Anolis sagrei: one gene and its partners. The protein of the gene in region 2 interacts with the protein of the main gene of each other region in a pairwise test. Links are inferred from orthologs where the notes say so. Each region holds a gene or a part of one and is shown on either strand. Other genes may lie near its edges.

The links. The genes of interacting proteins can lie anywhere in the genome.
Region 1: the proteins of KHDRBS2 (region 2) and CIRBP interact in binary tests that used the Homo sapiens proteins (3 or more experiments, as listed by UniProt). The two-hybrid records come from large-scale screens. The link is inferred for Anolis sagrei from reciprocal best matches to the Homo sapiens genes KHDRBS2 and CIRBP.
Region 3: the proteins of KHDRBS2 (region 2) and RNA-binding protein 3-like interact in binary tests that used the Homo sapiens proteins (3 or more experiments, as listed by UniProt). The link is inferred for Anolis sagrei from reciprocal best matches to the Homo sapiens genes KHDRBS2 and RBM3.

What each region holds. Positions count from the first base shown.
Region 1 is NC_090034.1:60,015,582-60,023,349, reverse strand, and holds the start of CIRBP (cold-inducible RNA-binding protein), read right to left. Parts: upstream 3,135-7,768; 5' UTR 3,026-3,134; intron 587-3,025; 5' UTR 579-586; coding exon 476-578; intron 380-475; coding exon 273-379; intron 1-272. UniProt on the Homo sapiens protein: Cold-inducible mRNA binding protein that plays a protective role in the genotoxic stress response by stabilizing transcripts of genes involved in cell survival. Acts as a translational activator.
Region 2 is NC_090021.1:117,775,288-117,783,012, forward strand, and holds the start of KHDRBS2 (KH domain-containing, RNA-binding, signal transduction-associated protein 2), read left to right. Parts: upstream 1-4,715; 5' UTR 4,716-4,804; coding exon 4,805-4,895; intron 4,896-7,725. UniProt on the Homo sapiens protein: RNA-binding protein that plays a role in the regulation of alternative splicing and influences mRNA splice site selection and exon inclusion. Binds both poly(A) and poly(U) homopolymers. Phosphorylation by PTK6 inhibits its RNA-binding ability.
Region 3 is NC_090022.1:194,292,322-194,299,631, forward strand, and holds the start of RNA-binding protein 3-like, read right to left. Parts: upstream 3,135-7,310; 5' UTR 3,029-3,134; intron 968-3,028; 5' UTR 949-967; coding exon 846-948; intron 748-845; coding exon 641-747; intron 1-640. Other genes in the region: homeobox protein prophet of Pit-1-like, read right to left, coding at 6,650-6,994. UniProt on the Homo sapiens protein: Cold-inducible mRNA binding protein that enhances global protein synthesis at both physiological and mild hypothermic temperatures. Reduces the relative abundance of microRNAs, when overexpressed.

The DNA of each region.
Region 1 (7,768 bases), on a different chromosome or scaffold from region 2:
GGTTCACCTACAATCTGAACCCCACCAATGATAGAACTGGATCAAACTTCCTATACCAAACCTCCATGACAAACAGAAAACAGTGCTTCTAGAGAACATGGCCTTACAGCCAAAAAACCCAGTGATTCCCGGCCATGAAAGCCTTCGACAATACAGAAAATTGTGGTTACTTACTGCCTCTGGTGATCCCTGATACCTTCGCACCCGCCCCCCCCCCCCCCGCCCGCCCAGATTGAAAAACACTGCGCTGCCCCAATATGGCGGCCACTCACCTTCCCATTCATGGCCATCATAGCATCTTTCGCGTCGTCAATGTTTTCAAAGGTCACAAATCCAAACCCTCGGGACCTCTGCGTTTCTCTGTCTTTGACCACAACCACTGGAAGGAAGGGAGGAGAGCGGGTCAATCCCTCTTCCTAATTAATTGGGCAAAGGATTCCCAAAATGTTACAGAGGGCAGATACATGGTTGTTACCTTCAGAGATCTGTCCATATTTGGAGAAGACCTGCTCCAGGGACTGTTCATTGGTGTCGAAACTGAGCCCGCCGACAAAGAGCTTCCCTTCGTCCGATGCCATTTCTCCTCCTGTGGGCCAGAAGAAGAAATTGCAGAATGTTTTAATTTACGGCATTTATATGCCACCCCTCTCATCCCAAAGGGGACTCAGAGTAGCTTATAATATATATTTCCATACAATATATTATATTATCAGCATAGTACAATATCAGTATTATATATTACTATATTGCACTATACCATTATATTGTAATATTATTAGTAATATTACATGTGATGTAAATATATAATTATAATATTGCATTATTATAAAGGTAAAGGTTGTTCCCTGACATTAAGTCCAGTCATGTCTGACTCTGGGGTGTGGTGCTCATCTCCATTTCTAAGCCGAAGAGCCGGCGTTGTCCATAGACACCTCCAAGGTCATGTGGCCAGCATGACCACATGGAGCACCATTACCTTCCCGCCGGAGCGGTACCTATTGATCTACTCACATTTGCATGTTTTTGAACTGCTAGGTTGGCAGAAGCTAGGGCTGACAGCGGAAGCTCATGCTGCTCCCTGGAATCAAACCTGCGACCTTTTGGTCAACAAGCTCAGCAGCTCAGTGCTTTAACCCACTGCGCCACCAGGGGGGGCGTATTATTATTACTAGTATTATATTGTATTACAATATAATATTATAAATATTATATGCACATACAATATACTATATTATATTATTAGTAAAGAGAGAAGACAAGATGTAAATGTCTTCTGCTCCCCTCTCTGTCTTTGCAACTGGTCCAACGAGCAGCGGCCAGGATGTTAACTGGGGCCCCTTACAGAGAGAGGTCAACCCTCCTGTTCAAGGAGCTCCACTGGCTGCCGTTTATTTTCCGAGCCCAATTTAAGGTGCAGGTGCTTACCTACAAAGCCCTGAACAGTTTGGGACCATCCTACCTGCGTGACCGCATCTCCGTCTACGAACCCACGCGTTCACTTTGGTCATCTGGAGAGGCCCTGCTCGCGATCCCGCCTGCGTCGCAAGCGCGTTTGGTGGGGACACGAGACAGGGCCTTTTCTGTGGTGGCCCCCCGACTCTGGAACACCCTCCCCAAAGATCTTAGACAGGCCCCTACCCTGGCAGTCTTTAGAAAAAACTTGAAGACCTGGCTGTTCTGATGTGCCTTCCCAGAATAGGAAATCTCCAATACCAAGTCCCAGAAGCACTTTATTAAAACTAAGATTGCTGCACGCTGCACACTGCACTTGCCCTATAAGCCTTATATCCCACCTGTCACATCAGCACTTTTAATCCTGTACCCATTACTCTGGCCAGGCCCAGGTTCACTGTGTCCTAGTGTATTGTTTATTGCTTTGATTGTTTTTAATTTGTCTTGGGTTTTGTATTGTTATGTTGTGTATTGAGGCCTTGGCCTTTGTAAGCCGCATCGAGTCCTTCGGGAGATGCTAGCGGGGTACAAATAAAGTATTAATAATAATAATAATAATAATAATAATTTGCTCTGGCCAGAGCAGCTTATGGTGCAAGAGGGGGGGGGGGCTCCCAATTCCTTGGGCCAAATTCAGCCCTCCCTCCAAGTGTTTTGGACTTCAACTCCCACCATTCCTAACAGCCTCAGGAAAAGGAAGGGGTCTGTGGCCAGGGCCGTAGCCAGAAAAACTTTTTGGGGAGGGTTGACAATTTGGGAGGGGGGGTGTGTGAAAATTTTAGGGGGGGTTGAAAATGTCGGGGGAGGGGGTGGAAACCTGCCTCCTAGCTCACGCTGAAGCAAAGAGCACAGCAGGGGGCAGAGCAACCTTCAATAGCCTGCAGCTCCACCCCTGTCAACCACCTCCACCAAGTCTGGCCTCCTTAATGAGAGCATTCAACACTCCCCTCCAACTTGGTTGCTTCACTACATCGGCAATTGCTGCAAGTAATGGCAGTGTGAATAAATTGTCAATATTTGCTTGAGATATTGCTTGCAGTTCTGGAGGGACTCTTAATTTTTTGCATCTCATAGACTTAGCATGGGGATTTGGGTAACCAGTTAAAATTCATGAGCAAACCAGTTTTTTTAAAAAAAAAATCTGAAACATTTCGGGGGGGGTTTGAACCCCTAAAACCACCCCCTCGCTACAGGCCTGTCTGTGGCTGTTAGGAATAATGGGAGTTGAAATCCAAAACACCTGGAGGGCCCAATTTGGCCTAGGGCTGTCTGAAAGTGACAGAATCTAATCTGCGCATGCGCGCAGCGTGGCCTCTGCCCAGTAGAGGGCGCACCTCCGCTCTCTCCCTCCTCGAAGGCGCAACGCCGCCTCGCGCACTTCCTCGCGCCATTTTGCGCCTTCCTCCCAAAAGCCGGCCGGACGCCATTTTATTCCCCTCCGTCGACCAAAACAAGCTCTTCCGCGCAATTCCCCTCGAGCGAATCCCTACTCAGTTCCCCCAGTTGAACATTCCTGCACTCGGAATGCTTTGGAGTATTTAAATATATTCGCCCTCCTTTGAAAATCTCTTACCGAGTGATGTGTCCTTCTCCTCTTGTCTCCTACAGAAAGCTACACGCGCTCTTCAACAACCAAATGCGAACTGCGCAGGAGCGCCCCCGTGCGGCGCCTTATATACCCGCCCGCGGGGCCCCGCCCACCTCATGCGTATGCAGCACGGCGCTTCCCCGGATAGACGCTTCTCCCCGGCCGTGAGGCAACGCTCCATCGAGCTTCCCATTGGCTAAAGCCTGATTAATATTCAAAACAGGAAGGATGCGCGAATTGTGATTGGGCGAGCCGGAATAAAAAAGGGATGAGGGTGGTGTTGACAAGGGCAACAAGCCCCGCCTCTCTTTTGGACGAGCGGAGCGATTGGACGGTTCCTCAGCTCCGCCTCAAAACCCGTGTCTGAGGCAGAGGAAGGAGGCGTGGCCACGCTGGCCTACATTCGCGCCTTGTTGTCAGCAATGCGGCTCAGGTTTGCCGCAATGAACGGGGAAGGGAGGGGGGGAAGGGTGTCATCTTGGGGAAGCCAGACAAGACGATTTTAAGCAGTGCATTTCAACAACAGAGAGTAAACAATCAGGCACATCAATTCACTCTCAACAAGAGATTCCCCCCAGGCGCTTCCAGGCCATTGAATGCAAATCAAGGTGATCAGCTGAAACATTACCCTGGTCATTCCACAGATATATAAACCCATTTTTCCTAATTCCAACAGACCTCACTATTATTTATTTATTTACTTTACTTGTATACCGCAGTTTCTCAGCCTAACCGGCGACTCAACACGGTTTACAACAAGGATAAAATCAATCAACGATATACAGTTTAAAACCATAAGAGCACAATATACAATATTACACAACAGTAACAACACAATGCATCTCATTACTAGAGTCGTGATCCAAATTCGTCGTCCATATTTCCATTCCTGTAATTGTCACATTCATTGCACTGATTAACCAAATGCCTGTTCAAACATCCAAGTTTTTAATCTTTAACACCATTAGCGAGGGAGCTGATCTTACCTCCATGGGAAGGGCGTTGCACAGCCGAGGGGCCACCACCGAAAAGGCCCTGTCTCTCGTCCCCGCCAGCCGCACCTGTGAAGCAGGCGGGATAGAGAGCAGGGCCTCCCCAGAAGATCTCAGGGTCCTGGCGGGCTGATAGGCAGAGATACGTTCGGATAGGTAGCTTGGGCTACCTCACTACCTCTGAGGATGCTTGCCATAGATGCAGGCGAAACGTCAGGAGAAAAATTGCCTCCAGAACATGGCCATATAGCCCGGAAAAACCTACAACAACCCAGTGTATTTTAATATTGATACAAATATTTGTGATGTTTATGTATTCATATAATGAATTCATGTCCTAGCATTGAATGTTTGCCATGTATATGGTGTGCTCCGCCCTAAGTCTCCTTCGGGTTTTATTTATTTTTTTGTCGTGTCGGGAGCAAGTCGCTTCTGGTGTGAGAGAATTGGCCGTCTGCAAGGACGTTGCCCAGGGGATGCCCAGATGTTTTGATGTTTTTATCATCCTTGTGGGAGGCTTCTCTCATGTCCCCGCATGAGGAGCTGGAGCTGATAGAGGGAGCTCATCCGCCTCTCCCCGGATTCGAACCTGCGACCTGTTGGTCTTCAGTCCTGCCGGCACAAGGCTTTAACCCACTGCGCCACCGGGGGCTCCTTCGGGGTATTTATTTTATTTATCGTGTCATCCACAACCAGAACATGGTATTACATTTCTAACAGAACAAAACAAACAAACATTAAAAAAACACAAATTTTGCAAACTTGGTAGTTGATTAAATGTCCTTTGACCAGTATCTGGCCACTTGGAGTGCCTCTGGTGTTGCCGCAAGGAGGTCCTCCATCGTGCATGTGGCAGGGCTCAGGTTGCATTGCAGCAGGTGGTCTGTAGTTTGCTCTTCTCCGCACTCGCATGTCGTGGATTCCACTTTGTAGCCCCATTTCTTAAGATTGCCTTTGCATCTCGTGGTGCCAGAGCGCAATCTGTTCAGCGCCTTCCAAGTCGCCCAGTCTTCTGTGTGCACAGGAGGGAGTCTCTCATTTGGTATCAGCCATTGGTTGAGGTTCTGGGTTTGGGCCTGCCACTTTTGGACTCTCGCTTGCTGAGGTGTTCCAGCGAGTGTCTCTGTAGATCTAAGAAAACTATGTCTTGATTTAAGTCGTTGACGTGCTGGCTGATACCCAAACAGGGGATGAGCTGGAGATGTCTCTGCCTTGGTCCTTTCACTATTGGCTGCTACTTCCCGGCGGATGTCAGGTGGTGCAATGCCGGCTAGACAGTGTAATTTCTCCAGTGGTGTAGGGCGCAGACACCCCGTGATAATGCGGCATGTCTCATTAAGAGCCACATCCACTGTTTTAGTGTGGTGAGATGTGTTCCACACTGGGCGTACTCAGCAGCAGAGTAGCATAGCGCAAGGGCAGATGTCTTCACTGTATCTGGTTGTGATCCCCAGGTTGTGCCAGTCAGCTTTCGTATGATATTGTTTCTAGCACCCACTTTTTGCTTGATGTTCAGGCAGTGCTTCTTGTAGGTCAGAGCACGGTCCTGAGTGACTCCCAGGTACTTGGGTGCGCTGCAATGCTCCAGTGGGATTTCTTCCCAGGTGATCCTCAGAGCTCGGGATGCTTGTCTGTTCTTAAGGTGAAAGGCGCATGTCTGTGTTTTAGATGGATTAGGGATCAGCTGGTTTTCCCTGTAGTAGGCAGTAAGAGCACCTAGAGCTTCGGAGAGCTTCTGTTCTACCATCTCAAAGCTCCCTGCTTGAGTGGTAATGGCACGATCATCAGCATAGATGAAACTCTCTGTCCCTTCTGGCAGTGGCTGGTCATTTGTGTAGATGTTGGGCAGAATATAAATATTTGAAATAAATAATAAATAAAGCCAGGAGAGCCTGGAAGCCCCCCCCCCCCCCATACCCCATGTGGAGAGGGGAAGTCATGGGCCAGCCTTGCCGCTTCTGCACTGGGAGCAAGCTCCTTTTCCGCCTCGAAGCAACATTTCCTCCAATGTTTCCTCCAACTTTCGCCTCAGAAACCTATCTTTTCCTTCATCTTTCCCCTCAGAAACAATGTTTCATCCAACTTTCTCCTCAGAAACCTATCTTTTCCTCCGTCTTCCTCCTCAGAAACAATGTTTCTTCCAACCTTCTCCCCAGAAACCTATCTTTTCCTCCGTCTTCCTCCTCAGAAACAATGTTTCTTCCAACTTTCTCCTCAGAAACCTATCTTTTCCTCCGTCTTCCTCCTCAGAAACAATGTTTCTTCCAACTTTCTCCTCAGAAACCTATCTTTTCCTTCATCTTTCCCCTCAGAAACAATGTTTCCTCCAACTTTCTCCTCAGAAACATATCTTTTCCTTCATTTTTCCTCTCAGAAACACATTTCCTCCACCTTCCTGCTCAGAAGCACAGCATCTTAGGAATCTTAATTTCAAACGGGTTTTAGATTTTTTTAAAAAAATATTGTGTGTTTATAGGTCACAACAACATCTGTTATAGAATTCCAGTATGCCGATGGCAATGTAGTCTCTGCGCATTCAGAAGAAGACCTACAAGCCACACCTTTGCAGACATATGAAATGCTCAGCGTCTCATTGAACATCAAGAAAACCAAAGTGCTCTCCCAGCAGTTGACCACTTCTGCTCCCTTGGCAGCCACTTCTCCACAAAAGTTAACATTGACACTGAAATACAACACTGCCAGAGCTCTGCAAGTGCAGCATTCTTCTGAATGAGGATCGGGACATCCGTAGTGATACCAAGGTGCTTGTTTATAAAGCTGTTGTCCCCCCAACCCTGTTCTACACCTGCAAAATGTGGGCTGTCTGCAGACATCACACTCAACTCCTGGAACGATTTCATCAGCATTGCCTCCCAAAAATCCTGCAAATATCTTTGGAATAAGACAGGCGGACAAATGTCAGCATGCTGGAAGAAGCAAAGACCACCAGCATTGAAGCGATGTTCCTATGCCATTCACTCCGCTGGAATGGCCACGTTGTCCAAATGCCCGTCTCCCAAAGCAGTTATTCTACTCCCAACTCAAGAAGAGAAAATGTAATGTTCATGGACAGGAAAAGAGTTTTAAAGATGGGCTTAAAGCCAATCTTAGAAACTGTGGCACAGACACCGAGAACTGGATGCTCTAACTGGAGGTCAGCTGTTACCAACAGTGCTGTGGAATCTGAAGAGGCACAAATGGAGGGTGAAAAGGAGGAACGTGTCAAGAGGAAGGCATGTCAAGCCAACCCTGACCGAGATGGCCTTCCACCTGGAAAGCAATGCCCTCACTGTGGAAAAACATGTAGATCAAGAACAGCGCTCCACAGTCACCCATGGACCCACTGACAAGAAGGCCATCAGACTTGGACAATGAGGGATCACCTAAGTAAGTAAGATATGCAGTGGTTGAGACTGCCAGTATTTTTTGCTGGTCATGGGGTCTTTGTTTGGTCCAATTCCATCTTTGGTGAAGTTCAGAGTGCTCATTGATTGCTATAAATGAACTATAAATCCAAGTAGGAGCCCCCGGTGGAGCAATGGGTGCCAGCAGGACTGAAGAGCGATGGGTCAGAGGTTCAAATCAGGGAAAGTGTGGATGAGTTCCCTCTGTCAGTTGCAGCTCCCCATGCGGGGACATAAGAAAAGCCTCCCACAAAGATGGTAAAGCATCAAAACATCCTGATGTCCCCTGGGCAACGTCCTTGCAGATGGCCAATTCTCTCACACCAGAAGAG
Region 2 (7,725 bases):
ACTGGGGTCTTGAAGATACAATAGCATTAGCCATAACACATGGCGATTGGATGATGCTGTCAAAGAAAGGAAGCATTATTTGCTTAGTCCTTGCTTGTTTGATGCCTGTTACAAATGTATGGATCATAGGGAAGGGATCTATCAAATACTGCTTCAGTAATACATCTAATGGGGTCCACTGAACAGCAGATAAACTCATCTCCTGGTCTGTTCACTTTTATATAGGTTTTCCTGTCTTGTGTGTGCTTTCCAACAGAGCCACAGTATATTTGCTCCATAATTATGAGGCTATTATGTTCATATTAATATAAAAATGATTGGAGCAGATTCTTTCATCTAGTTCAGTGGTTTCCAACATATTGACTGTGGACCACCAGTAGTCTGCAAGAACTAAAATATGGTCCGTGGTATGGGCGAGCAAATGGTGACTACTGGATGGCATATGTTCTGTATCAGAAACTAGAGCTGATGTGGTCTATTCAATGCAATTTTCTGAATCAACACCCCAAATAACCAAACTGAATCTAAAGTTGACCAAAAACGGATTCATAACCATTTTGGTAATGTTGGAGAGTAGTCCCTGGTCAAAGTGGTCTCTGGCCAAATGGTCCCTGATTAAAAAAAAGGTTGGGAACCACTGATCTAGTTGGATGAAGAGATGGAGTGTGTCAGGGCTACAGATTTGCATCTGCCATGGATGTTACCATAGAACAGTGAATGGCCTACCTAGCTGTCCCCCATTAAAAAGAAAACAGAATCAACCTGGAATAATTCACCTATTGGCCATTTACTGGATGTGTTGCTGGATAAAATACATTCAGTTGAAGCTGGTGTCATAATGTAGTTATTTTAATCTTTTGAATATTGTTATTTTGATCTTTTGATCCAAAAATGGTTCTTAAGGCATTGAACGCCAGCCTTCAATACTTGTGAAGTTGAATGAGTAATATTCCAATGTAGTTTAGTGTAAGAATTGTCAATATCCCTTCAAAGAGACTCAGTGCAGTCTAAATATAATGTTTACTTTAAAGCTTCCTCTCAGGTTTTCGAGAGGTCTAAATCCATTACCATAGTGACTGAGAAGTAGGCAAGAATGTCAAGAGAATAATTTTTCTAGTATGTCAACATTTTTTACAGCTTAAGCCTGTAAAAGAAAATCCAGAATTTATCAGATATGTGCCTATGGGCTATTTTCAGTCAGGAATTGCTGTGGGTGATGTCATGGTTGAAGTGTTCATGGGTGGGCATCCACAGAAGCTTTATAGATTGATACCTTTTTTTCCTGAAAACAATTGAATAGATTTTCTTTTTGGGACTGGTGGATTTGTATGGCCATTTTGAAATGTTGAATAATTTCCCATTCTGTAGAAATTGGTGTAATATGATGTAATAGCAATTAATAGTTGTTTCTGATTCCCTCCCTTCACACACTGCCACAGAGAGAGACTATTGCTTTAAAGTGAAAAGGTTTCCTTATTCGTTTCAGCAGAGGGAAGCCTTCCAGGTTGATTGCCTTCATAAAGTCTGTCTGGACTAAGTAGTCAGACTAGGTATGTGAACGGCAAAGGGTGCATCTACACTGTAGTATGAATGCAGTTTGACTCCACTTTAACAGTCATGCCTCAATGTTGTGGAACTGCAGTGTATAGTTTGCTGAGGCATCAGCATTCTTTGGCAGAGAAGGCAAAAGACCATGTAAAACCACAATGCCCATGATTACATAGCGTTGATATCAAACTGCATCAATTCCACAGTGTAGAGCAGGGGTCCTCAAACTAAGGCCCGAGGGCCAGATACAGACCTCCAAGGTCATTTACCCGGCCCTCGCTCAGGGTCAACCTAAGTCTGAAATGACTTGAAAGCACACAACAACAACAACAACAACAATCCTATCTCATCAGCCAAAAGCAGACCCACACTTCCCACTGAAATACTAATAAGTTTATATTTGTTAAAATTGTTCTTCATTTTAATTATTGTATTGTTTTTAAGCCTTTTTTGCACTACAAATAAGATATGTGCAGTTTACATAGGAATTCATTCATGTTATTTTCAAAATTCAGTCCTCCTCCCCCCAATAGTTTGAGGAACTGTGACCTGGCCCTCTGTTTAAAAAGTTTGAGGACCCCTGGTGTAGAGTAACCCAAAGTGAGTCTGCTGCTTAATGAAAGCACCAGGGTGTATGTTCACCATAGAAATAATGGAGTTTGACAGCACTATTATCTGTCATGGACCAATGCTGTGGAATCAGTGGAGTTGTAGTTTTACAAGGTATTTAAGGTTCTTTGGCTGGTGCCTCACCAAATTATGACTTCCAGGATGGCATGGCCTTGAGTCTTAGTGGTTCAAGTGGTGTCAAACTTCCTTAATCAAACATTGTGCATCAGGCATGGGCAAACTTGGGTCCTCCAGATGTTTTGGTCTTCAACTCCCACAATTCCTAACAGCCTAACCTAAGCTGTTAGGAAGAAACCTAGGTTTCTTCTCCTAAAGGAAGGAACCATAAAATAAACAAAATCTGGCTACCAGTATTTAAAAAAACCACTAAAATTATAACAGCAAATAAAGAACAACACTCAAACACGGGGGAACTCCAGACAAGAAACTATCAGGAACAACTAATCACCTCTCGTCAAAAGATTTCCCCAGGCAGTAACAAGCCACACCTAAAAACTGCCAGGCCATTTAATGCTAAGGAAGATGGCCAATAGCAACATTCACACTTGCCTCAAACAGACAAGAGTTCTTTTTCCCACCCTGGACATTCCACAGACATATACATCCAATTTTCCTAGTTCTGAAAGACCTTAAAACTTCTGAGGATGGCTGCCATAGATGCAGGCAAAATGTCAGGAGATAATACTTCTAGAACAGTGTTTCTCAACATGGCGGTTGAGACCCCTGTGGGGTCATGAGGGGTGTCAGAGGGGTCACCAAGACTATCAGAAAACACAGTCATGGGTGTTCTGTGTGGGAAGTTTGGCCCAATTCTATCATTGGTAGGGTTCAGAATGCTCTTTGATTGTAGGTAAACTATAAATCCCAGCAACTACAACTCCCAAATGACAAGGTCTATTTTCCTTAAACTCCACCAGTGTTACATTTGGGCATATTGACTATTTGTGCCAAGTTTGGTCCACATCCATCATTGTTTGAGTCCACAGTGCTCTCTGGATGTAGATGAACTATAACTAACTACAAAACTCAAGGTCAATGCCCACCAAGCTCTTCCGGTATTTTTTGTTGGTCATGGGAGTTTTGTGTGCCAAGTTTGCTTCAATTCCATCATTGGTGGAGTTCAGAACGCTCTTTGATGGGAAGTTTGACTATCAATCCCAGCAACTACAACTCCCAAATGACAAAAATCAATCCCCCTCAACCCCACCAGTATTTAAATTTGGGCATATGGTGTATTTGTGCCAAATTTGGTCCAGTGAATGAAAATACATCCTGCATACAGTATCAGATATATACACCACAATTCATAACAGTAGCAAAATTACAGTTACAAAGAGGCAACGAAAATACTTTTATGGTTTGGGGTCACCACAATATGAGGAATTCTATTAAGGGGTTGTGGCATTAGGAAGGTTGAGAACCACTGTTCTAGAACATGGCCATAGAGCCCAAAAAACCTACAACAACCCAACCTACTGGCTGTTAGGAACTATGGGAGCCAGGCCCGTAGCCAGGATTTCGTTTCGGGGGGGGGGGGGCTGATTTTTTTTCAGGGGGGGGGTTCGGGGGGGCTGAGTTTCGGGGGGGGGCTGAGTCTGAGTGAAAGAGGGTCTAGCCTAGCAAATCTTTTGTATCATTACCCCAATACCCCATGCATATGGGATATATTGAGTAGGGTGATCAGATCATGATATGAATAAACATAACAGTTTAAATAATGCACCAATAAGGCCTTTTCGCGAACCACCATGAGAATTTCGGGGGGGGGGGGGCTGAAGCCCCCCGAGCCGCCCCCCCCCCCCGGCTACATGCCTGATGGGAGCTGAAGTTCAAAACACTTGGAGGGCCGAAGTTTGCCCATACTTGGTGTAGATACATCTTTGGTCACTCTTTGAGATGAATCTGTCAGTGCATCCTTACACGAAAGAGGGATGGAGGGCTGGTGCCTGTGAAATAGAAGTCATAGGAGTGGAAGATGCAATGTCCCTTGGAAGGTGACAACTTTCTCCATGAATCTTCAGGGGCGGGCCCGGGGTATGGATTCTTGGAGGAAATCAACAGCCCTGGACAGAAGTAAAATATGCAGCGTCTGGGCTTGACTCGTTTTTCCTAAGGAGGGGAATCAAAGAGAGAGAAATCCAAAGCCGCAGCCCTTCCAAAGCCCTCAGACGCCCTTCGCTCCGCTTCAGCACCTTGGACAGCGAGCGGCGCGCTAAGTCCCTCCCTGATCCCCTTCCCGGCTTTTTTTTTTTTCCGCCCTTGCCTTTCACTTAAGGCGACGGGGTCGCGAGCCAATGGGAAGCCGCCGCTGCGCTTCACGCCCCGCCTTTCCAGCCCCCGCTGCCCAATGGGAAGGGCGGAGCGGTGGGTGGAACGCTCCTTCTCGCCCACCTCTCTAGTTAAGGCTCCTGCTCGGCGGCGCCTGTGGCTCAGTTAGAGAGGCGCGAGGCAGAGAAGCCGAGGCAGGCATCCCGGGGCGCGCGCGTGTGTCTGGCGGGAGGGGGGCGCGCGCTGTCCAGGGTCCTGCAGCCAAGGGAGGCTTGCTCCAAGTCCGAGGGAAGGCAAGGAGCTCCCCGCGCACCACCTTTCGGGCAGGCAGCCGATCCCAAGTGCTGCCCGGTCTACTATGGAAGAGGAGAAATACCTACCCGAGCTGATGGCCGAGAAAGATAGCCTGGATTCGTCCTTTGTTCACGCGATGCGCCTTTTGGCAGAAGGTAGGAGGACTTTGAGGGGGCTCCTCTCCTCTGGCTGCCTTTCTGAGCCAAGGAGAAGCGGTGGCTGTTGCTGCTGAGGATTGAAATGTTGCATAGGCACTCAGATCCTACATAGGGACTGAGATCTTGCATAGGGACTCAGCTCTTACATAGGGACTGAAATCTTTCCTAGGGAAGCATTGGGACTGAGATCTTGTGCGAGGCCTCGGACTAAAGGAAGGGGGTTTGAAAAGGGGGAGAGAAAGGCGAAGATAGTCTTTCCCTTCCCCGTTGAGGAAGAGCCAAGGAGCTCTGTTGTTCTGGTCTGAGATCTACATAGAGACAGAGGCTGCTGAGACCAATGAGTCTGGTGGGAGGATTCGCCTTAGAGAAAGTGAAGGAGGAAAGCAACTGAGGGTGTAGCATTAATGCAGTTCCACACCACTTTGCCTGCCATGGTTCAAAGGGGATTGAAGTTTCACAAGGTCTTTAGCTTTCTCTACCAAATAGTGCTGGTGCCTCGCTAAAATACAGCTGTTATGATTCCATAGCCATGGCAGTGAAAGTGGTGCCAAACTGCATTATTTCCACAGTGTAGATGCACTCCTCCATCACCCCAGTGTCCATAACCTTCATCCAACTGTACTATAGAAGTATAGAGTTTGTGTCAATGGCCCCTATGTCCCTACTATTGCTTCCAGAGGAAGAGATACTGATAGGTTTCAATGGCAACACCCTATACTCAAGAGGATGATTTGTGTCCTCATAGACTCACCTCTCCATCAATCCAGTTTGCAAACAAATCAGCAACAATTTGGCATTTTGTGAAAGAGATCCAACTCAGCCATCTTTTTCTTTCTTTTTTCTAAGATGTACATTATTTTAGAAAGATTTTTTTCCAGATCATAAAAGTTTTATATATATATATACTTGAGAAAGAAAATGGAATGGCAGTAGTAATCCAAACAAGGATTGTTTCTATTTTTGAGAGCTACATTTCAAGCAACTCTTCCTGCCCAGTGTTATGACTAGTTAAATCGTAGCAAATACCCTTCGCTTATTAAAAAACACTCAAGACTTTTACCATCATGGACAATCATTTCCATGGGAATTATTTGTTTTCATAGGAAGCTTTTATTTCTTTTCGTGCTCCCTTTTTTTTTTTTAGTAAGAACTGCTCTGTTATCAGGTGTACTACTTTTGTAGTGGAAAAAGCTTTTGGACTCCAATTTTTATTTACAGAAAGACAGATGCAAAGTGTTTCATTAAAGCTGTTCCATCTTGGGCTGTTGTGTTAAATGTCCATATTATATGGGAAGAGCTAAATCCATCACAATGCCTGTGATTCGTGTCATTCCAGTTCATTTCAGTCTACTCTTGTTCTGGATTTGTTAAGTTTGTCAACTGCCAGGTTTACCCCATTTTGCTAGAATATCAAACTCTTGTAGTCATGTCAGGACTAATTAATTGTTGAAGAACTCACGAGCAAGTTACCAGAACTTTCCAAGTTGTGCCTTTGAATAACTGTATCTGAGTGTTGTTGAAGGCTTTCATGGCCTGAATCACTGGGTTGCTGTGAGTTTTCCAGGCTGTATAGCCATGTTATGCTTCTGGAACATGGCCATACAGCCCAGAAAACTCACAGCAACTGAGACTGTATTTGAGTTGAGAAGCACAGAAAATCACCACCAAAAGTATTCTCCCTGATTTCATCCATTGTCCATGTTATTAATATCTGTCTGTAAAATATAGTTAAATTGTTTAGTTTGATAGTATTGCTTTCCCTTTCAATTATAATATGATACTGGATCTTCATCCCATGTTATTGTTAGACTTGGAAGGGTTTGTAATGAAATGAAGTCAAATGCAAATAATTTGATAGAGATCTAACAGTGTCTGTATATGGAAATAAGATGTCAATATTCCAAAGAATCTGAATAATTATCTTAAAAACATGTAAGCAGGCATCAAACATACTTTATTTTAAAAGTCTTCAGGCTCTCATTTTAAAAGGGGATGCCAGATTTGTAAATGAGAGCTTTCCCATCATATACTCTTTTTTAAAGTATAGATTCCCCGCCAGAAATATGATTTGTGTGTGTAATTTGAAATTTTCCCAGCAGGGGGAACTATCTGCTGAGACACAGTAAAATCAGAAGAAAAGTGAAGGGTAGAGGACTTTGGGGAGGAATAAAATGGGGGGGGGGGGAATACAAAACTCTGTGGTTATTTTAAAACCTTTTAATAAAAGTGAGCCCATGCAGATGTATTTACATCTACCTTTCCCATTCAAGCTAAAATTCAGCTGCAAATGATGCACATATTTTAATAAATGTGCTACTCCCCGACCCCCCTCAAGTGTAGCTGTAGGTTAGGATATGTGGATATTAAACACAGACTAAGGTGAGTTGCTTAAGAAAGCAAGAGAGAGTACTAATGTGGGATTCACACCAGCTACCTTGCATTATCCTTCAAAACACCATCTGTCAAGGTTTCTGGAACTGTGTTTCAGATTTATGCAAAAATATAAAATGTCTGAAAGGCAAACTTTCAATAAAATGAGCACACCTAGAGCTGTGAAAACTATAGGCAGAGTGATGCATTTTATGTTGAAAGATTACCATGATGCTATCACCATTTATTTGAATGTCAGCAAAAAAGAAGACTATAGAGCAATTATATTGTATTAGCCTTTAAAATGGCATCTCTTACAATAATATAATATTAGTATGGACTGTTTGCCATTTTTGGATTCAAGGAGAGGTCCTTGATAACTTACAAAGCCTTCTTACTGCAACATATGACAATTAAGTGTACAAGCAAAGTCTTGTTTTACAATGCCTGGCATTTT
Region 3 (7,310 bases), on a different chromosome or scaffold from region 2:
ATACCCCTAAGGGTCCCTTTCTTCTCATGGTGTCAGCAACTGTGCAAACACTTAATACAAAACTTGATACATGAATCAACTGCAGACCAGTGGGGGGAGAACTTAACCCTGAAGAAACAACTTGGAACAAGAACTTGTCTGAACTGTGAAGAGCTGGATCAAAACATGGCCTAACTACTCCATCAGAGTACACCAGCTACAAGAAGCCACAATTTAAAGAAATTTGGGAGAAATCAATAGTTCCAGAGATGTAGCTAGAAGTCAGGCATAGGCCACTAACATGAATTATGCGTAGTTTTGAAAGGATCAGATCTGATGGGAACAGACTGAGCTCTACCCAGTTTTGCATTTTAGCAATAAACTGACACGGTTGTTGGTGCCAAAACATATCTCATACTGTACAATTCTTAAGACTAGAAATGATGCCTATAAAGGCACAAAGTGTGATAAGTGAAATATTAATGCTGTGCAAATTCTTTATCGGATTGGGCTAAAATCCATTAAGTAAATAGGAAATGAAATAAAGCCAAATATAGCAGGACAAGTCTTATACCTGCAAGCAAACGATTGTTTTGTCTTGTATACTTAAAATAGGACAGCTTAAAAGAGTTAACAAAATTAACAACTTTCACATTCTTACCTCTCCATTCATGGCTCTCATGGCATCGGATGCATGCTCAGGATTGGCAAAGGTGATGAAACCAAAGCCCCTTGATCTTTGGGTCTCTTTGTCCTTGATCACAACAACTAGGAGAACAATACAAAAGTGGGAGATTCACTTAACACTTTCATGATTATACAAAAAGGTAAATTTCCTCTACCAGAAATACCCAGAACTTGCTTACCTTCCGAAATGGGACCAAAGGAGCTGAAATGCTGCTCCAGGCCTTGTTCATCAGTATCAAAGTTCAGCCCCCCAACAAACAGCTTTCCTTCTTCAGAAGACATGATGGTGATGAGGAGGGTTCTAAAGAAAAGACATGCAACAAAGGAAAAGAATATGGATTAGGAGTTGATATAGGTCCCATCTATCCTGACCACTTAAGGTAATTTCAAAACAGTATTGAACAAAATGGTTTCACTGGGCAGACGATTACACAGGAAATCCTGGAATCTGCCTGTGGCCCATGCGGTGATCATGCAAACCAGAGCACTGCTGCACTTTTTGTGGGAGCTTGTTGACTATCAGTTTAAAGCCAGTGTCACACTGCATTAAATGGACTACATAGATGGGCCCAGCTGCAAAGCACCACCTTTTAAGGAGAAACATACTGTTTTTGATCATTTTTTTTATCAATTTGTTTCTACTGTACTTACACAATTTGTTAATAATGCTTTAGTAGGGTAGGCTGGCTGCCAATGTTTCAGAGTCCGATTCAAGGTGATGGTTTTGACCTTTAAAGCCCTAAACCAGTGGTTCTCAACCCGTGGGTCCCAAGGTGTTTTGGCCTACAACTCCCAGAAATCCCAGCCAGTTTACCAGCTGTTAGGATTTCTGCGAGTTGAAGGCCAAAACATCTGGGGACCCACAGGTTGAGAACCACTGCCCTAAAAGGTTCAAGCCCAACTTACCTATCTGACTGCATCACCTCTTACCAACCTGCCCGATCATTAAGATCTGGGGAGTTGCCACCGCCAGAAATACAGGCGGTGGTGAGAGAGGGCATTCTCAGTAGCTGCCGGCCCTTTTGAACTCCCTCCCCTTCCATTATCTTTCAAGAACCAGCTGAAGACCTACCTGTTCAAGCAAGCTTTTGGCAAATGAATTCAATTGCTAATGACAGCAAGATTGTTTGCACTGAGCTTAGCAAAATATACCATTTAACTGAAGAGTCTCCACAAAGATTGTAATTGGTTATAAATGTTTAATATTTATTTCTATCTTAGTTCTGGATGTTATTATGTTTTGTGGGATTTTTTGGTCTTGTATTTTATGTTAAATGTGCTTTTCACTTGTATTGTGTTGTGAGCCGCTTTGGGTACCATCAGGGAGAAAATCAGGATCAAAATTATTGGATTATGTGATTTTAATATTCATACTATGTTTTAATGCTTTAAAATGTTTATTTCTGATGTTTAATGGTTTTAATGATTTTATAGTTATATATTAGTGTTTAGTTATGATTTTTTGTCTACATCTATGTTGGCATTGAATTTTTGCCATTAGTATGTTGAGTCGTCGTCCCCCCCCCCCGTGAGAAAAGCAGTATATAAATATAGTCAATATATAAAAGTAAACCGCCTTGCCCCCCCCCCCCCGGGGTGAGAATAGCAGTATATATAGTTAATAAATAAAATATTATTTTTAGGCTTAAATTCACGGCCTGATCTCAGGGAGGACTAAATTGTAGTCCCATAACTGATACCTCATGTGTTTCTGGGAAGATCACATAACTATCCCTTCCCATTGCTAAATCCACGGATTCATTTCCTGAAGCTCCAGTTCGGGGCTTGTTTTCAAAAATCAAAACGTCTGTAAATATCCCAAGTCTCATTCTCTTGGTAAATAAATAGAAAAGGAGGAAGCTGCCCGGGAGGGAGGGAGGACAAAATGCCTGCCTGCCTTCCTCCCCGCCTCCATTTCCCCGCCCCGAGCGCCATCTTGTTAACCCCAGCTCCAACAAGAGGGGCCTCTGGAGCGTCAAAGATGGCGGCGGCGGCAGCGCTGCCTGTTTGGAGGCCTCGCGCCCAACGGCCGCTTTCGCCTCGCGGAGGGGCCCCAGCCAGCCCTTCCGTTTCTTCACTCTTTTCCTCCCCCGCATGCGCAACGCCCACCGCGCGCGCAGCCGCCTCCACCACCACCACCAAGCGATAATTTCCACGCATGCGCAGACACCCTACATTCCCGAGGCTTCTCGAAACGTGCTTGCGCTTTGTAAAAGACGGCCTGGCTATTCTTTCCTGCTTTATCCCATTCACCCGCTATTCAAGAACGGCAGCGGACGCTGTCCTTTTTAATAATATGGGAGGATTAACATTCCTTCCATTTCCCACCAAAACAACCCATTATTTTCGACCCCCGCCTTACCAAAAAGGTGTTAACAGCACTGGAGCAGCGGAAAATGCGGCCGAGGCACCGCCCGCTCGACGCTTATATAGGGGTCCGCCCATGAGGGAGGGCCACGTGACCGCTGCCGCTCCTTTTATGGGCATCGGCGCCTGCGCGTGCGCCTTGGTGGGACTTTTCGCCCAATCGCTTTGCCCGAAAGGACGCGGGGAGTGCGGGGACATCCGGGTATTTGTTCAACTTTCTCCCTCCAAAGCACATTTTAAACAAATTGCGTAGGGAAAGATTTCCGCCCCAGTCCGGCGTCCTTTTGTCACGCAGGGAAATTAAAATGTCGCTTGCTTACTTCCGGCCAGGATTCGATTTCGAAAAGGGAAAGGGGTGGGGGCAGAAATGGAAGGGAAACCAACGCAATCACAACAGGGATTTGGCAAGGCATTTATTATTATTATGATAGTTGTTAGCCACAGGACTTCAGGACGTCCAACCACACGATCCTTGCAAAGAAATGGAGGGGCCCAGTGCTCTTCTAGGCCCTTCCACGCAGGCCCCACATCCTGGGATCTGAGCCCAGCTTTTCTGCTTTAAACTGGATTAAGAGAATGAATGCACTTTAAATCCGGTTACTGCCTCCTGCAGAATTGTGTGGTTTGTGGTTTAGAGGAGGAGCCTTCTCATTGTGTGGCCAAAGTACTTCATCTTTGCCTCCAACATCCTTCCCTCCAGTGAGCAGCCAGGCATTATTTCCTGGAATATGGACTGGTTGGATCTTCTCGTGGTCCAAGGCACTCTCAGAACTTTCCTCCAACACCACAGTTCAAAAACATCTCAGTCTTCACTGAGAGGCCTGATTTAAAACTCTCTTGCCCCACATTTGTATTTTTCCTTTATTTTTTGTTAACAGATAAAGAATCTGTTGTGGCTGGATCTCTGTCTGAAATTAGAATTAATAGCAGCAGCCATATGAACCAATATTCATCTCAAGACTGGACTACTGTAATGCCCTCTACATTGGCCTTCCTCTGTCGGTGATCCGGAAGCTCAAGTTGGTACAAGATGCAGCTGCTCGGCTTCTTGTGGGAATTCCGATGAGATGCCACATCACCCCAATCTTTCTGCAGCTGCATTGGTTACCGATTGAGCACCAGATCACTTCCAAAGTGATGGTACTCACCTTTAAGGCCTTGCATGGTCTGGGGCCGATGTATCTGAGGGACCGCCTCACCCCCTACCAACCCCAGAGATCCCTCCGTTCTGAGGACCAAGATCTATTGGAAGTCCCCAGTGTCAAGACCTTGCGCCTAACAGCAACCAGACACAGAGCCTTCACAGCAGTGGCACCATCACTCTGGAATACTCTGCCACCTGAAGTATGTGCCTTGCAGGACTTACCAGCTTTCCGCAGGGCATGTAAGACATACCTGTTTCGACAGGCTTTTAATGATTGATATTGTTGTTTTTAAATTGTTTTAAATTGCTTTTAAATTTTGTTAGATTTTAGCTATTCTTGTAAGCCGCTCCGAGCCCCAGGGGAGTGGCGGCATATACGTTTAAATAAATAATAAAATAATAATAATAATATTCTGAATTTTTGTTTTTTATTGCCTTTAAGTTTTCTCTGCCTAAGATGAACCAATCACAAGGTTTTCTTGGCAAGACGTGCAGTGGGGGTTTCCATGGCCTTTCTCTGAGGTTGAGAGAGTGTGGCTTGTCTAAGGTCACCCAGCGGGTTTCCATGGCTGAGCGGGAATTCAAAACACGTTCTCCTGAAGTGCTAGTCCAAAGATCATAGTGTTACTCCATACAAACGTCCTTATTTAGAATAAGGAAAGGTCTTAGACACGCAAAACTACAACAGAAAGGACCACCAGAGAGATAGAGAGAGACCAAGCATGAGGATACTCCAAACTGGCTAAAAGTAAATTAGACAAGTCATATATATATTTATGAACTGGTAGATAATCAGTAATCTAAATTCTGTGTGTGTGTGTATGTGTGTAAAATCTAAAAGTAAAAATATGTATGTATCAATGTACGCATGTATTTTGTATGCACAATTTTCCAGGATAGCTCCCAAATCCAGAACCTTATCACACTAGAGGAGTGGTTCTCAACTGTAGGTCCCCAGGTGTTTTGGCCAGAAATCCTAACAGCTGCTAAACTGGCAGGGATTTCTGGGAGTTGTAGGCCAAAACACCTTGGGACCCACGGGTTGAGAACCACTGCACTAGAGAATGAATCCACTCAAAACCCGGTTTCTACCTCCTGCACAATTCTGGGGTTTGTAGTTTAGAGAGGGGCCTTTAACAGCCTCAGTAAGCTACAAACCCCAGAATTGTGAAGGCAGAAACCGGATTTTAAGAGGAATCATTCTCTAGTGCGATGAAGTAGTATATGAGTCCACACGACCAGATAATCTGGGATAAACAGAAAACCTCTGATATGATCCTGGGATATAAGGCCTGTCTAGAAGGGCCCTGTGTTTACCCTACTGAAGGATGCCTTTTGCTGGTGATTTTGCATTTTAGGTAAAGCGGAACATAGCTATTGCAACTATTGGGCAAGGAAAAAGAAAAGTAAAAGGAGAAGTGTGTATACTGGAGGCCCTGCCACACAGCCATATAACCCAGAATGCCAAAGCAGGTAATCCACAATATTTGCTTCGAATTGTATTATCTGAGTCTACACTGCCAGATAATCCAGTTCAGTGTGGATTTTCTACAGCTGTGTAGAAAATGTGTGTGTGTGTGTGTGTGTGTGTGTGTATAGAGAGAGGGGCGGGTGGAGTTGGCTCTCTGTATCCACAGTCTCCATCCATGAATTCAATGGCTGTTTGAAGGAACTATCAGGCTGATATGGCGTTTATGAAAATGAGTTTGACAGCCCTGTTCCAGATTGTTAATTTGGGATTACAATAAATCCACAGGTGTAGTGTTCAATTCTGAAGCGCCAGCTGTAATCATGTCAGTCCCTTTAGCTACATTTGCAAGGAGAGTCCCAAAACAGCTCTGTTGGACTATTTTTTTCCAAATCAACTCCACCGGAAGCAGGTCTTTTGCATATCCAATGGATCTTGCTCATCAAAGGTCAAGCCACACCCAAATACTTTGATTTATAATAGAGTGTTATTAAATCCATTTTCCCGTAGAGAAAATCAGGCCCCTTCTACATAGCTGTATAAAATCCACATTGAACTGGATTTATGGCAGTGTGGACTCAGATAACCCAGTTCAAAGCAGATATTGTGGATTATCTGCCTTGGTATTCTGGATTATATGGCTGTGTGGAAGGGCCCCCAGAGGAAACAGGAATGTAAGGGGATGGCAAATGACATCAGAGCCATGCTATTCAAAAAACCCTGTGGCTCCACTACACTACTAAGTATAAGGCCTAAGAAATGTAGCCAAAAACATGTGTATGCGCTGAATGCACATTTTCAGAAATGCCACTAAACTGTCACAGCTCTTTCATAGCAAAGGCATGGGTATTCCTCAGCAGATAGGTTGCCATGAACTTGGCAGGGGCCAAGATAAGGTGTCACACTCTGGCTTTTCCTTAAGAGTGGCTTTGTGTTCCCCATGTTTATGTGTGTTATCCCCACCTGGATGCACCTTATTCATATTTTTGCAAGCAAAGAGACCCTCAGTTCCAAAGGGTGCTGGGATCAAGGCTCAGTGAGATCATGGAAGGTGGGGAAGTTACTGTGGGAGACCCAATGGTGCGCAGAGGGGTGTACCAGTCTTCGTGAGTGCGGGAAGTTTGGGGGCATGGGAACTGAGTTGGAGCTCCAGATGGAGTTGCGGGAGGCAGAGTATAATTAGAAGGAAAACGAGGCAGGTGATGGTGTGGCCCAAGGGTGGGTGGGTACTGATACTGCCGCGTTGGAGGCGTGGGAAGGGGACAGACAGAGAGGACGCCCGTGGTGGCAGATTTGGGGAACGCTCGTTCCTGTTTTCGCTGTTTTGCTCGTCGATTCTGGAACCAAACCTGTGAAAAGAAAATGAGACCAAATGTATATTGTGAAGTACAATCAGACTTACACGCTTGCTGGGGTTAGGGTTTGTGAATGCCTGTAAAAGTGGAAAACCATTAAAATGTTTTTTTAACCCATAAGAGTACCTCTCTAAGACTCTCTGTGGTCTATCTTATATTGAGCTTATATTCCAGGATCTGATCCCAGATTCTCTGCTCTGAACTAGATTATATGTGTCTCCAATGCCATATAATCTGGGATAAGCAGAAAATCTGGGATCAGATCCTGGGATATAGGGCAGTGTAGAAGGGGCTTGTATCTTCCAGTATG